Regions from separate parts of the Mus musculus genome. Here region 2 is reported to be linked to region 1. Evidence: microRNA targets listed by miRTarBase, many of them from high-throughput screens and not tested one by one. Region 1 holds a microRNA gene; the other region holds the end of a gene's coding sequence.
What was found. The annotated mature microRNA mmu-miR-6984-3p reads UACUUUCUUUCCUGUCUUUCU and lies in region 1 at 3,776-3,796, shown strand. An mRNA with a match to its seed (bases 2 to 7 or 8) in the 3' UTR can be bound and repressed. Matches are read on the target gene's strand: a 7mer-m8 pairs with bases 2 to 8, a 7mer-A1 pairs with bases 2 to 7 and ends in A, and an 8mer does both.

Region 2: miRTarBase lists Rnf130 as a target of mmu-miR-6984-3p. The part of its 3' UTR that is shown has no 7-base or 8-base seed match.

The regions. Positions count from the first base shown.
Region 1 is chr19:3,285,186-3,295,876 of GRCm38, forward strand. It overlaps Mir6984 (microRNA 6984), which reads left to right and starts at 3,735; the gene lies at 3,735-3,798. It overlaps Mrpl21 (mitochondrial ribosomal protein L21), which reads left to right. Exons shown (of 7, transcript NM_001347420.2): 3 at 125-210; 4 at 1,690-1,853; 5 at 2,518-2,570; 6 at 3,799-3,902; 7 at 5,792-6,016. The coding sequence ends at 5,856.
Region 2 is chr11:50,103,828-50,108,827 of GRCm38, reverse strand. It overlaps Rnf130 (ring finger protein 130), which reads right to left. Exons shown (of 9, transcript NM_021540.4): 9 at 4,069-4,279. The coding sequence ends at 4,264. Among named protein-coding and RNA genes, the nearest start is that of Tbc1d9b, 25 kb to the left of the region's middle.

The sequences.
Region 1 (10,691 bases):
GTGGGTTTTATGCCCCTCCATAGCAAGCTTGCACAGCCTCCTGGTGCTTGCACACGGCTGCTGTTGGGGAGTTGAGGCTGCCTTTCCTGGGCATGTGATGTGTGCTTATGAAACCGCTTTGCAGATATGTTCCTAAGACCTCCCTGAGCTCACCACCCTGGCAAGAAGTGGTTCTGCCGGACCCTGTTGAAGAGACGAGACACCATGCGGGTAAGACTTAACAGGAGCTGGGCAGGGAGGCCTTTGTAGCCCTAGCACTTGAGAGGCCTAGGCAGGGGGATTGCTGAGAGTTTGAGGCCAGCCTAGGCTACAAAGTGAGACTCTATCTCAAAAAAGTTAAAATAAAAAGGGAAATGAATGGGTAGCGCTGAGTGTCCATTCCCACAGGTCACTGAGGTACATTGCCACAGGGCAAGGCAGCAGGTTTCTGAGTGCTTGGAACCCCAGCACACGTGAGACCTCACATTCACTTTGGTTGGTAAACACCAACATTTATGATGAATCTTCTCTTGATAAACAGCTCTCCAGCATCTGCCACGAGGCAGTCAGGTGATGGGAGGGATAATGCATGCACCTCCATCTCCAGCTATGTTATGTATCAGTCCAACCCCGTCATCCCAGTACTCAATTGGGAGCACCACAAGTCATGTCCAGCCTGGGCTACATGTCAGGAAAAGGCAGCACAGCTGTTGCCAGCTAAAGAGTCATGTCTCAGCTTCCCAGAAGCTCGAAGTTCCCATCATTCCCGGGAATCCTCTGTTATTTTAGAATACTGTTTAAGCTCCTGTTCAGGCTAAGTATAGTCACTCCTGGAGGTCTGGGATCGGTTGGAGGGCTTGCCATAGCTATCAGAACCCACGAATGTGATGATGAGGGGTGGCAGTGGTGGTATGCAGGCTGTATGTATAGGCCCTGCGTGTCCTATCTGGACCACTTGCTGACTGTCAGTGCTCACTCACTGTGCAGGGCACCACCACAGGAGAGGTCTGCATGTTTGGTGCATCATCTGGAGCCTTCACTGGGATGCCAGGAGCTGCTTCTGGCCTTGGCCTTATCCAGAGCAGGAATTGTTATGTCTGTCCTGTGTGTCCAGCCCTTGGCCCAGGGGTGGGGTCTATGTGGACAAAATTGAGAGCTAAGGACTGTGACATGAGCCAGAGTAGTGGTAATGGGAACAGGGAACGGGTGTGGAAGGAGGGCAGGTGGGCCTGCCAGAGATGGAATGTGGAGAGAAGGTGGGTCCCGTGGGAACAGGGAAGGTGCTGGGGTGCAGGGTGGTCAGGAGGCCCTGCCAGCTCAGGGACACAGAATCAGGCTCCTCAGACTGCAGAAAGACCGTCCTCTCACTTCTTAGACTGCACACTTCTTGCCCTGGGATGTAGTCCAGGCTAGACTCACTGCCATCCCGCTTCAGCCTCCCAAATGCTGGGATTATGGGCATGCACCATCATGTTCTGCTTGTGCACTGGGTCTTAATTGATTTAAAAGGAAAAAAAAAAAAAAAGCAAACAGGATGAGGGTTCTGCTCCAGAACTGCAGAAGTAACACTTCCTGCCAGTGCTCCTGAGAGCCCCAGCCCAAGCCAGCACCTCCCTACTGGCTGGGTAAGCAGGGCTGGACAGACTGCAGGAGCAGTCCTCCCAAGGGAGCCTGGTGCCTGTGCAGTGATTGCCACCCACTGTCCTGCAGAGGTTGTGAAGAGGGTGAATGAGCTGATCGCCACGGGCCAGTATGGCCGGCTCTTTGCTGTCGTGCACTTTGCCAGCCACCAATGGAAGGTGACCGCAGAGGACCTGATTCTAATTGAAAATGAGTTGGATATCAAGTGTGGAGAGAGGATTCGGCTGGAGAAGGTGAGGTGCACGTTGTGTTGTGGACTCAGGGACTCTGGCACCTAGTGAGCATGGCTGAGGGTTTTCTCAGCTGTGCTGAAAAAAGGACTCACGGCCAGCGGGTGGGAGGCAGGGTTGGACTCTGCATAAGGCAGAGCAAAAGGAAGACTAGGACTAGAGGAAGACAGTGGAGCTGAGCTGTGTCTCCATATCCTCGATCACAGACATAAGCTGCCAGAGAGCTCGAAGGGAGATTTCTAGCAGCTGCTATTGTAGGGGAGGCTGGGAAGTCCCAGCAGCATAATACAGATGTGATAATACATAATACAGATGTGATAATACATAATACAGATGTGATAATACATAATACAGATGTGGGTGGTAGCACTGATGGCCGCCAAAGCAGTTTAGTCTGATTGTTTTTATTTGAGACAAGGTCTCCTGTATTGTACCCGAGGCTAGCCTCAGACTTGCCGTGAAGACCAGACTGCTCCTGATCCTCCAGCATCTACCTCTCCCGTGGGTAGTGGAGGTCGGAGAGCTTACAGAGGTCATTTCTCTCCCTCCACTGTGGGTCTTGAAGCTTTCTGTGTTTTCCATTTCCCATCCAGTCCCGGCATGTAGGCATCACCTGCTCCCTTGGTGAAGAGTCAGGGATTAAATATGCTATATTTTATCTTCTCAGGTCCTGCTGGTTGGGGCAGACAACTTCACACTCCTGGGCAAGCCACTCCTCCGGTAATAAGCTTCAAACCCTGGGCTTGGTCCAGGGCTGGGCTGGCTCACAGGCTAGACACGGTGTGGTCAGGCCCAATGGGGATTGTTCAACATCATTCTAAGAGTTAAATGCAGCCGGGCATGGTGGCACATGCCTTTAATCCCAGCACTTGGGAGGTAGAGAGAGGCGGATTTCTGAGTTCAAGGCCAGCCTGGTCTACAAAGTGAGTTCCAGGACAGCCAGGGTTGTTACACAGAGAAACCCTGTCTCAAAAAACAAAAAACAAAAACAAAAAAAAAAAGAGTTAAATGCAACACCTTTCTTACAATTCTGGAGGGTGTTTGGTGTCCCAGGAGACACCCAGCTAGGAGACTAGTCAGTCACTAATCCATTGTAATATATTTTTCTTCTCTTCTCTTCTCGTCTCGTCTCGTCTCTTCTTTCCTTTCTTCCTTTCTTTCTTTCTTTCTTTCTTTCTCTCTTTCTTTCTTTCTTTCTTTCTTTCTTTCTTTCTTTCTTTCTTTCTTTCTTCCTGCTTCTTGAGACAGGGTCTTTCTATGTAGCCCTGGCTGTCCTGGAATTTATTATGTAGACCAGGCTGGCCTTGAACTCACAGGAGACCCACCTGCCTCTGCCGCCTGGGGGCTGGGATTAAAGGCATGTCCCACCATAGCTGGCAGCCAGTGTAGTCTTAAGGGCTGGTGATTCCACTCAGAGATAGAGTGCCTACTTGTTAAGTTTGAGGCCCTGGGATTGTGTTCTCAACACTACAAAGTTAATTGAAAAAATTTTTTTTTCTTTGTTGGTTTTTTGTTTCTGTTTTGTTTTGGTTTTTGAGCCAGAGTTTAATTGTGTAGCCCAGGTTAGACTAGAACTCACAATGTGTACTAGGCTTACCTTGAATTTGTGGCCATCCTCCTGCCCCTACCTCCTAGATACTGGCATCAGTGGTCACTCCTGACTAAAAGATTTTTTAAATACTCTTCATTATGTTTTCTCACTGTTTTCAAAATGAATGACCCATATGTGGGGCACATAGCTATTGACCCTACACAGGAAGCAGAGGTAGGAGGGTCAGAGGTCAGTTTATTCCTTGGATGTAAAGAGAATTTAAGGTTGGTCTGGGCTGCATGAGACCCCACTGCAGAACCAGGAATTCTCTGGGGAGCTTCCGCAAGTTGTGCGTGAAACTGAAAGGCAATGAAGGAGGAGCACTGTCACAGTGTACTTTCTTTCCTGTCTTTCTAGAAAGGAGCTTGTACGAGTTGAAGCCACAGTCATTGAAAAGACAGAATCATGGCCCAAAATCAACATGAAATTTAGGAAAAGGAAAAACTTCAGGAAGAAAAAAAGTAAGTATGAGACAGTGTATTGGGGCCCTGTGCTCCCAGCACACCGTGGTTGTGCCCATGTTCCCTGCCAAGTAGCTGGGCAATGCCAGGGTGGTATTGTGCCAGCATTGTGCTGGATAAGGGCCCAGGATGACTCACACTGCCCCACTGCAACATGCAGGCCACATAGAGCTGTGAACCCAGCATGGCACCCACCTTGAGACACTGGGGGACAGCAGTGGCATATTAGATTGTCTTGGAAAACTGGAAGCAGCTCCCACATGTGCTGGGAATAGTTCACACTCTGCACAAGTCAGGCTGAGGTAGCAACAAGGCAGGCAGCCTCTGTTGTCAGCACATGTGTTTGTGCATATGACGTCACAGATAATTCAAAGGGAGACATGATTAGATGCTCAGGAACAGGTTCATGGCCTCTGCAGGAAGTGGGGGAGCCAGCTGTGCTCTTTGAAATCACTTGGTCAGACCAGGCAGTCCGCATCCTCCCTTCTGATGATGCTGCCTGCATTAGCCCTTTAGTAGGCCCCAGCAGTGTCATGGAAGTGCCAAATACAAATATCCTCTGAGTGGTCAGGCCGTGGCCAGCTGGCTGACTTTTAAGGAGGCTCATCAGGCTGGAACCTGAGGATGCTGAAAACGCCCTGGAGCCAGTGCAAGGAGAGAAGCTGGGGGAAGAGCCAGCTTAGGGGTATCTGGGGGTGAGGTCACAGTGCCTAGTACCCACAGGAGAAGGCTACAAGCTGGGCTTCAATGTCAGCTGGGAGGAGTGGGGTCATGAGGCTGCTGACCTGTGGACAGGGCAGGTGAAGTCTAAGGGTGACTTCTCAGGGCACTGCTTCCCTTTTCAGTGGTTGGTCTGGCTAGGCAAGAATCCCCTGTGGTGGTGGAAGCCATGGGTGGGCAGTGCCAGATGGTAAGTGTGGTGCCAAGGCTAGGTGGAGCATGGACGGTCGGAGGGAACACCAGTGTCCTTGCCCCTGAGTCGATCTCCCTTTCCTGAGGGAACACCTAATTACGAGGCCCTAATAGGTGTGGCCTGTTCCCTATTACCTGCTTTGTTCTGACATAGACATCTGACATCCTCAAAGCAGTAGGTGAGCCATGAACAGTGAGAGGGCCAGAGAATGCCAGTCAATCCCTGCAAAACAGAGGGGCCCTAGGGCAGGGTCCAGGACCACAAAATGGCTACAGAGCCTGACTCTGGGAGTGACATCGCAGCAGATAAGGCCAGGTCTAGTGCTCACACTGAGGAGGCTGAGGCAGGGTTCCCAGCCACCTGGACAGCAAAGCAAGATCCTGTCTCCAGCCAGGCCCAGGACGATTGGATGGCCTGGCAGGTGAAGACACCTGCTGACACCAGAACCCACAGAGTTGAAGGAAAGAACTAGTTTCTCCCGAGTTGTCCTCTGATAAGCACTTGCATGTGGACACACACAGACACACTGTGACAACTTGCATGCACACACAAAATAAATGCAAATTAAACAAATATTTTTAGTTGGCTCCCTCATATCCCCTCAAAAATAATAACAGCGGCAATTGTGAAGCAGTCCTGGACAGTGAGATGTAGTTTCACGTACCTACCCCAGTCAGTAGCCACAGTACCTAACCACAATCTGTGTTAAAGGGGAGCCTCCCCAATCCCTCACTCAGAGTGACTAGGCCCACCCCGCCTTGGAAGCCTTGGGGCCAGTGTGGTTGTGGGAGCAGACCCTGAACCTTAGGCCACTGAGGGTGGAGCCTATGCGGTGAGTGAGGCAGTCAGTCCACATCACAGAAACAGTAGGAAAAAGGGACCAGGCTGGCAGCCAGGCAGAATGCACTGACCTGAGCCCCGAGACTGCTGTCTGAAGGACATGAGACTGAGCCCGTGACAAGGTTCTCTCTTTCAGTCATTGTGAACCCTCAGACCATCCTCCGCATTAACACCATTGAGATTGCACCTCGTTTGCTGTGACTGCAGAGCCGATGTCTAAGAAGTTCTGAAATGTCTAATAAATTCACGTCTGTACTCAGGAAGCTGAGGCAGGAGGATCACAAGTTCCAGGCTAGGTTGGGCTACAAAGCAAGACCTTGTCTGACAATGAAAACAAATAAAGTATTTTTTAGGAGACTGAGCCTGTGACTTGCTGTTAAAGCCAGTTCGTGCTGCCTGGTAGGGTACATTAGCCGTCAGAATAAACATCACTCTGAGCCCTAGCAGCAAGCCTGCTGCTTGTACGGACTGGTGGTATTCCTGGCAGCTGTAGCAGGCAGAAAGGGGACCCACACCTGGGACAGAAGTGGGCAAGAGCTGGAGTGGGTTACCAGGACAGCTGCTGGGATTGGGCATGTGGTGACAGTGCACTTACTGCCCTAGCAAAGCCCTCAGAGGCTGAGTCAGAAGGATTCCCAAGTTCAAGGTCATCTTCACCTGCATAGTAAGCCCTGGGCTAACCTGAGCTCTCTGACCCTATCTCAGGATGAAGCAAGCTGCTCCAGGATGGAAAGCTGCAACTGGCCGGGAGATATCTGTGTGTCAGCTGCTTCCTTTAGCCTCCATGGTTCTATGACAGGGGTCACAGTACAGGGTCAGTGCTCCAGCAGCCCCCCAGGGGGTGGGGGGAGCACAGTGACAATAGGGCAGAGGGTGAGGCAGGAGTTCTGATCCTAGGAACGGTTTGGGGCTCAAGGGCTATGACCCTGTGAGTCAGGCCCACCTTGGGGGAAGACCACCAGGAAGGTCACACAGGCTCTAAGGATCAAGCCAGAAGCATGGAATCAGAGAGGAAGCACAGGCCATCCACAGGAACTGCCAGCCCTTTCCTGTGGCAGTAGCCTGTGACCAGTCATGTGACAGTTGTCCTACTTTTCCCTGCTGCCCCTAAGATGTGACCCTCACTTTCAAGTTTTTTGATTTTCAGGTTTTTTGAGATAGGGAGGTATCACTGTATTATTCCTCATAGCCCAGGGTGGCCTTGAACCTGAAGCAAACCCATCTCAACCTCAGTGCTGGGATTGCAAGTGTGTTCCACCACTTCCAGCTGCCCAACTCTGGAGGGCTTTTGGATTTGGGTGGGAGGCAGTTACCCAGCAGCCAGGTTCCCCTGCAGCTCCTTCTGTATGCAGTAGAGGGCAGCACCCCACTGGCCAGCTCTAGCCCTGTAGCCTAAAAGCAGGCTACTGGAGAGCAGGCCTCTTTCAAAGGCCCCAGCTGACTGTGACATGGCTCAGGTAGGAAGGTGGCAGACAGGCCTTGGGTGTGAAGTGCTCAACAACCCGCAACCTCTATCCAACCAATTAGTCTCTTCGTCTCTGTCTCCCTCTCCCCCTCCCCATGTCTCCCCCTCCCTCTCCCTCTCTCTCTGTTAGACACAGACCCCTCTGGGTATTTATGCCTCAGTGCATGCCAAAGAGAGCAATTCTCAGAAGTCGGGCCTACTTTGCACCTCGTTTAAGACAGTTTCTTCACCACTGCGTAAGCCAGGCCAGCTGACCACGGGGCTTGCAGAGACTCCTCTGTCTCTACCTCGCATCTCCTGTAGGTGTATTGGGATTGAACACGTGACTCATACATGAGTCTGGGGATCTGAACTCAGGTCTCCAGGCTTGTGCAGCAGTGCTTTACCCACGGAGCCACCCCCAACCCAACTTCTTGTATTATTTGTTGTTTGTCTGTGTGTATGTCTGCATAGGAGGACAGAGATGTTACGTATCTCCTAGAGCAGTTATGTCTGCCTGACATGGTACTGGGAATGAACTCCAGTCCTCTACAAGAACAATGTGTGCTCTTTCTTAACCAGCAAACCTTCTCTCCAACCCAGTGTCTAACAAATTTCTCTTGCGGTTCATAGCTCATGCTGGAATCCTGGACACCAACTCTCCCCCAACTTCCTGCTAGCTCAGCAGTGTCTCTGAGCCCATTGGTCTAGAATCTTTGACTGTGGCTTATATGTGTCTATACTTTCATTGTTTTGTGTTTAAGATGGTATGTGTCTCAGGCTGGCCTCAGAGTTAGTATGTAGCAGATAATGATCTAGACTGTCTGATCCTCCTGCCTCTGCTTCCAGACTGCTGGTATCACAGGTGCACATGCACACACTCACTTTGGCTTTATTCTTGTAGTGCTGGGGATGGAACCCAGAGTCACGTGTGCTAGGCAAGTGCTCTACCAACTCAGCTACATCCCCAGTACTATTTTTGTTTGTGGTTTTAAATTTTACTATTAGTGGATGTGTGTCCAAGATGGAACAGAAGTGTCTGAGTTCAAGTGGCAAGTCCCCATCTCACCAGCTTGTTTGTCTAAGATAACCTCTTACAGACTGGTGAGATGGTTCAGCAGGTAATGGCTTGCTGCCATGCCTGATAACCTGAGTTAACACATAGAACTGATGCCTGAAAATTGTCCTCTGACCTCCAAACAAAAGTTCAGTGTAATTTAAAGATTTAATTTACTTGTTGTAAAAGTAACTTGTATTTGCCTGTTGTAATTGTTGTCTTCATGGCTTTCTGTCTCCATCTGCTGACTTAGTCCTAGAATTTTCTTGACTCTATAATCTCACCGAGGCCTAGAGTGTTTTCAGCCTCTGAGACTTGCTGCTGAATAAGCTCATCCTTTCTAGTTCTTTCTGAACTCAGGCTGGTTCAACTCAGCTGCTCTGGCTCAAACGCGTCTCAAAGCTAACTGATTCAATCTGGCCTGTCTCGTTGGCTATTCTGTCAAATCTTTTTCTGATTCATCACTTTGTCTGCTACTCAATTAGAAGCCACTTTCAAACATGGGTGCTTCCTTCTACAAACTAACTTTACCTTCATTGTTTGGGATTAAAGGTGTGTGCTAAGGGCCTATGTACTTAATCCAGCCAGAGGGATTAAAGGTGTGAGCTAAGAACCGAGCCACACTATAACTGGAAACAGATTTTTCAGTAAATAACCCAATCGTGGGGTTCACAGTGTGATCATATATCCTGCAACACCTTATTTATTTGTATGTGTGAGTTTATCTGGACCATTTGTGTGCTGCTGTCTACAGAGACCGGAGAGGCCAATGAGTCCTCTGAGCCTAGAGTTATAGGAAGTTGTGAGTTGCCCTGTGAATGTAACACTGGCTGTCCTGGAAGTCATTCTGTAAACCAGTTTGGCCTTGAACTCACATAGATCTACCTGCCTCTGCCTCCCAAGTACTAGTATTAACGACGTAAGCCCCTGTCACCTGGCAAGAAATAAACGCTCTTAACTCCTTATCTGCTAAGCTCTCGCTAGGCAAATATAAATTTTTTTGAGCTAATCATTTGCTAATTTTATTTTTTTTTCACTTTTAATTTTAATTGGGTATTTATTTCATTTACATTTCCAATGCTATCCCAAAAGTCCCCCACACGCTCCCCCACCTACTCCCCTACCCACCCACTCCCACTTCTTGGCCCTGACATTCCCCTGTACTGAGGCATATAAAGTTTGCAAGACCAATGGGCCTCTCTTTCCACTGATGGCCGACAAGGCCATCTTCTGATTCATATGCAGCTAGAGACAGGAGCTCCAGGCGGGTATTGGTTAGTTCATATTGTTGTTCCACCTATAGGGTTGCAGATCCCTTCAGCTCCTTGGGTACTTTCTCTAGCTCCTCCATTGGGGGCCCTGTGATCCATCCAATAGCTGACTGTGAGCATCCACTTCTGTGTTTGCCAGGCCCCGGCATAGTCTCACAAGAGACAGCCATATCTGGGTCCTTTCAGCAAAATCTTGCTAGTGTATGCAATGGTGTCAGCATTTGGAAGCTGATTATGGGACGGATCTCCGGATATGGCAGTCTCTAGATGGTCAATCCTTTCGTCTCAGCTCCAAACTTTGTCTCTGTAACTCCTTCCATGGGTGTTTTGTTCCCAATTCTAAGGGGCAAAGTGTCCACACTTTGGTCTTCGTTCTTCTTGAGTTTCATGCGTTTAGCAAATTGTATCTTATATCTTGGGTATTCTAAATTTCTGGGCTAATATCCACTTATCAGTGAGTACATATTGTGCGAGTTCTTTTGTGATTGGGTTACTTCACTCAGGATGATGCCCTCCAGGTCTGCTCCACTATGTTCATAGCAGCCTTATTTATAATAGCCAGAAGCTGGAAAGAACCCAGATGCCCCTCAACAGAGGAATGGATACAGAAAATGTGGTATATTTACACAATGGAGTATTACTCAGCTATTAAAAAGAATGAATTTATGAAATTCCTAGGCAAATGGATGGACCTGGAGGGTCTGTCCCAGATATCTCAGGACTTCAAGTTTCCCTTTGCACACAACTCTGGGGACCAGAGCTCACAACAGCAGCTGCTGTGCCTTCTCCTCCAGTGTGTCCACACCCCAAACCCACAGCAACTCCCCAAGATAACAGGTGAACATTCGGAAGGTGTGGTGCCCTTTGACCCACATCCGGGTCAGCCACCGCCCTGCCGCTTGATGGTTCAGCAGCTCCAAGTGCAGAACTGGGAGACAGTGCAGAGGCAGAGCTGCCTGAGGGCTAGTGGTATGTCACCTTCCTTTTCTTCCAGACGATGGCTTCAGGGAGACTGTTCTCCCGAGGAGGGGGTTGGTCCTGGAGATCCAAGAGCCCAAGGTGCTGGTGAATGCTAATGGCTGGCAGCATCTTACCTCATTGTCTTAGGAAATGATTTCTGAGCAAGGATCATTGGGTTCTAAAGTAAAAGCATGGGGCAAGCAGATGGCTTAGTCAGTGCCCTGCTTGACTCATAGCCATGGGGATTTGAGTTTGAATCCCCATTACCTACATAAAACAGCAGGTGTGGACCGCCGGGCAGCTC
Region 2 (5,000 bases), not on the chromosome of region 1:
AGCCAGGCACCTTCACTAACACAATTTTTCAAATCTCCCAAGTCCTATATGCTGCTACAGTAGCCTATATACATTGGTGAGGAGTCTGGGGCTGCAGGAAGCTCAGTGAGTCAGGCAGGGTCTCATGCTTGCCTGCTGCACATTCTAATGCAGATCAAATCAACATAAAGTGGACACTGGGTCACAGGCCAGCTTTAGCTGTGGCGCAGGGAAAACGCTGAGATGGTGCAGGCTCAGTTTACTTTGCCTGGACAGGAACCTAGTGCCACAGGCTTCTGCTGCTTGTCCCCGACCCAAGCCGGGCTGCAGCACATTCACACCCAACATAAGCAGAGCGAGTGAGAAGGCAGTCAAGGCTCAGTTTCTGAGTTGTCTGCTGCTGTTAAGTCCAATTCTTAAACTCTGGATAAGGAATTTACTATAGTAAAACCAAACAACTGCAAAGGAAAACAGGGAAGGGCACTTGGGAATCTTTTCTCTGCTATTTAAAAAGTCTAAAGCTCGAAAGTTGCTGGCCAAAGGGAAATGAGGCTTGCTCAGGCTTAGTGGCTGCAGCTGCCTTTGGCCTGACACAGGACCAGGAGACTCTGCAAGTTCCTCTTTAGACACACCTCCCAACTCTGAATCCACTGATGCCAGAGCTTCTGTGACACAAAGTAGTCTTTAAAACATTTATTTTTGGTTTAAAAAACAAAAAACAAAACCCTAAAGTGAAAACAACTGTATGTTCTTCCCCAAGGATTTAGAGCTGAAATACCCACATCAGCCTAAACATGGTCACATTCTAAGTTTTAAAATACTACGTGAAAAAATTATTCAATTTTATATATTAACTATGCATATCCTGACTAATAAAAAATAAACAATTTTATTTTGATGCTAATTCTGTATTGGGCCCAAAGGAACAAAAAACACATTTTAATACACAACACACACACACACACACACACACACACACACACTTTCTTGGTTACTGAGATCACAATTAGAACACGAAAACAGTTAAATATCTAAGATACAAAATACCACATTCTTATCTCAGTTACTGATGACCTACACTTCCAGTCGTAACCTATAACTTTATTCCTTTTTATCTTTTAGTTCTTGCCAAAAATTATGCTTTATTTCTTGCAAAAATATTTAATAGTACTAATTTTTAGAGAAGCAGTATGTGATGCTAAAGACGGAGACTCTGTGGAGAGAGGAGCTACATTAAACAAGCAGAAACAGCAACACTGCTGTTTGAGTTCCTCCATTTTCTGATGACTATTTTGAAAGCAACAGCTGATCACAAATGAGAGGGAACAGCGGAGGCAGAATCACTTTGATTCCACTGGAATAAGATGAGGTGGCAGGGACCATGCTACTAATTCACCAAACTATACTGAGGAAGCTATCAAAGGTCAGCTGACAGCTGTGCCACTAAGGGTCCCCAACCAGTGAAGCTCAGTGTGTAGGAATGCAAAGAGCAAACTGTGGCTTAAACATTTCTCTGATTCCATGTGCATGGCATGACCCAATATGCAAGCCTATGTGTGTAAAACCTACACATAGGGAGAAGCAGAGGATTTTAACAACAGTCGGTGAAGAGTCAGTGCTCACAGTCTATGACGGGCAGAAGGGACAGAAGAGAAGCAAGGAAAAGAGAACTGAACACATTAACCAATTCGACACAGCAGACACTCACACAGCACTGTGCCTAGCAACAGCAGCATCCTCCCAGGTGCGCGCTGAGCGCCCTCTGCGACTGATGGGCTAGTAATGAAGCTTTGGTACAGTAAACAGGGTAAAAGGCACGAAAGCTCTCCACCTATTTCAACCAACCAACCAAGGTATCTGGAAGAATTTAAAACAAAATTGGAAATTTGTAACAGACTGGGAAAAAAAATCTATAAATACATAGGGTTTAAAGACTATAACTGCCAAATAATCAGTGTGTTGAAGAAATCACAGGGGGAAGAAGAAATCAGTAAATAGAAAGAAGTATGGCTAGAAGAGACAGAACTCAGAGGGAGACTTTTGGCTATAAGCACCTATACTTTAAAAAGAAGCCAAGCATGCAAAACCTGCCTACTGAGGATACTGAGTGTAAGGTTCACTGAGCTTATGAGTTCCAGTCCAGCCTGGCACATACAGACTGTTCCCAGATAAAACAACAACAAAACCCCCAAAATACCAAAAACTCCCCAAAGACCTCAGATCAATAACCTAATCTTTCACTTTAGAGAGGAAAACAGCCAGCTGTGTGTGGCAGGTGGTGCACATCTGTAGTGGAGCATTTGGAGGCGGCAGGTGTGGGTTCAGCCTGGTCAAGTTCACAGTGCCAGGACCACCAGAGCCATGAGAGAGGATGAGAGGTTGAGGGGTGAGCAAGTGAGCCCCAACAATTGCAGGAACCCTAACAAGTGCAGGAGCACACTAGAGAAACCCGAAACTTCCTAGGAAGAGGAGCCTGGACCATGTGGGTTCTCAGCATCTGAAGGACCATCGGCCCTTGTACTCTTCCTAACACAGAGGGCAGAGCTGGTGAGATCAGCGTTTACAACGATGCCAAAGCGGAGCAAAGAGCCAAGCTTATCTTACAAACTAAAGAAGTCGTCTGACAGTCCTAGCACACTGCAACGACACACTCTGTGAGTGAGATTACCCTAGGAATGTGAGGCTGGTTCAGAGCATGGAAAAAGTGTAATCACTGGGATTTGCCTTGGCTGCAACAGACCTTGAGAGAATTGTAGGTCTGAGGTCATTCTGAACTGCATTGCCAAATCCTGTCTCAAAAAAAAAAAATCAATATATACTATGTTAATATGGGACAAAATGCCACAAGATCAGTGTAATAGGTACAGGGAAACGTGACACCATCTAAAAGTTTCGGGGTAAAAGCATCTCGTAACCTACGGACAGATTACTTTCTCAAGTTGATGGAGAGTAAGAAAATCCTATAGCGACTTCCCACTCACTGCTGACCAACTGAATTCTCCCTTCTACCATGGAGATTGTAATAAAACATGGAAGTTAGTTTATATCTTTTATAGTCACTGTCTACCTAAGGATGAACAAGCAAGAAAGTAAAACAGACTATAAGGAGACATAAAAGACCCCTAGACTCAAATGACATGATCGTGTACATAGAAAATCCTAAAGAATTCTAAAGGTTAGTTAAATTCAGCAAACTTGCAAAAATAGCATACAAAAATAAACCATACTACTACAGAAATAAAGTATTACTACATGACACAACATAGATGATCCTTGAACACATTGTGGGCCAAGATGTAAAAGATTGCACATTGTAAGACTACATTCATTGGAAGTGCTCAGAATGGGTACAGAGAAACATGCGGCTTTACAGTCCCCAGGGCTGGCACGAGTGAGAAGTTCTGTTAGTGGGTGTGTGGTTTCCTTGTGGGGTGACGAACTGTTTTGCAATTAAGAGACCCGTGACAGTTACAATGCCGATGAAGACCCATAGAAACATGACAGTGCAGATACCTTAATGTAAAAGGCCAAGAATTGACTACTCTACAGTTTACAAATATTGACCATCCTTTAAGCATGCAATATGACAAAATAGCTCAACAGTTTCTTCAATAATATTTCATTTACACATGTTAAAATGGCTCTTGGCTAATTCTTTTGTGTTCATTTTTTAAAAATATGTAATATACACACTAAGTAAAAGGACTATCTTGGTTTGCAAGTCTTAACACCTCATTCCTTCATCCTACAATAAATTTATTGAGCACTTACTACATGCCAAGCACACTCCCAGGTATGGGAGACACAGTGGGGAGCAACACCTGCAAGTTATGGGTGTGAAGCTAACATCCCAGTGAAGACGCAAGGAGAGGTTGCCAGGTGAACAGGCATCCTTGAAAGGAAAACAGAGACAATCAGCTGAGCACTGAGGGAGCAGTGCCTGCCACACAGGATGTCCTTGCTCTGCCATATCAGTCAGCGCAGGAGTCCATGGTAAAGATGAGCAGCCACACTGCCCCTACCCTCTTATGGAGTCATGAGCACATTATACATGTGGTATCAAAATCAGCCTCTGAAACACACGCTGGCGAAGGATACTTAGCAACACGGTACTTTTATTTTATTATTTATTTATTTTAATACAAAGCTTTGGCATTAGCAATTTTATGAAAAAATAAAATGTACTAAAAATAAACGCTTGTGTGGCATGATTGGTAAATGATGCACAAAAATAGGTTCTTTTTTCCTTCAAGGCAATCAGTCAGAAAGCAGTGTTTTCCTTCTTCAAAACCATTCTACCCTAAGGAATAAAAGGGAAAACAGAGGTCATTAATCAGTTAAAGGGAGGTTGTCAGCATTCTAACACAACAGAGATGGATCCTAACTGCAGGACGCCCTGAGACTGCCCCGCCCAAGTACCTGTCTTGTCTGAGACAGTGGCTTCTCTCTCACTGGCGGTCAAGCCGCTCGCCCTCTCACAGTGCTTTAATATTCTCAGAGTGAACACGGGGAAAGATGGCTAACAGTGCCTTGTTTATCACATTGGGATAGTGTTATCCAAGCTGGCTTGCGGCTGCCTTTGTTGTGCATGCTCCTCTTATCACCCTGGACTACTATGGCTTATTTGGAAGAGCTAAAGAGCAGAGTTCAGGGATGTGTGCAGCTGTTTCAGACCTTGCTCAGATTCTGGGTGCATGGAGTGTGACCTTAGTGCCTCTCTAACAGGAGCTGAAAAGTGCCTGCAGTCCTTTGGGAAGTTTTCTGGTGCCCCAGGATCCTGTTTGTCCTTTGCGTCCCTGACACTATCTAGTTTCCTGGACCTTTGGTCTTGGCTTCTTCCCTAAGCAGGGTCTCCCTACCACCACATGTGCTTCATTTCTACTGTCCCAAATCTGATCTTTTCCTCTGTGCTGAGGATCCATGCTTCAAACCCCTGGACCTTTGACTATGCATCATCAAAGAAAACAGCCACCATGCAAAGCCTTGGGCACTCCCAGCGCTGCCCCTCCAGTGGAGGCACC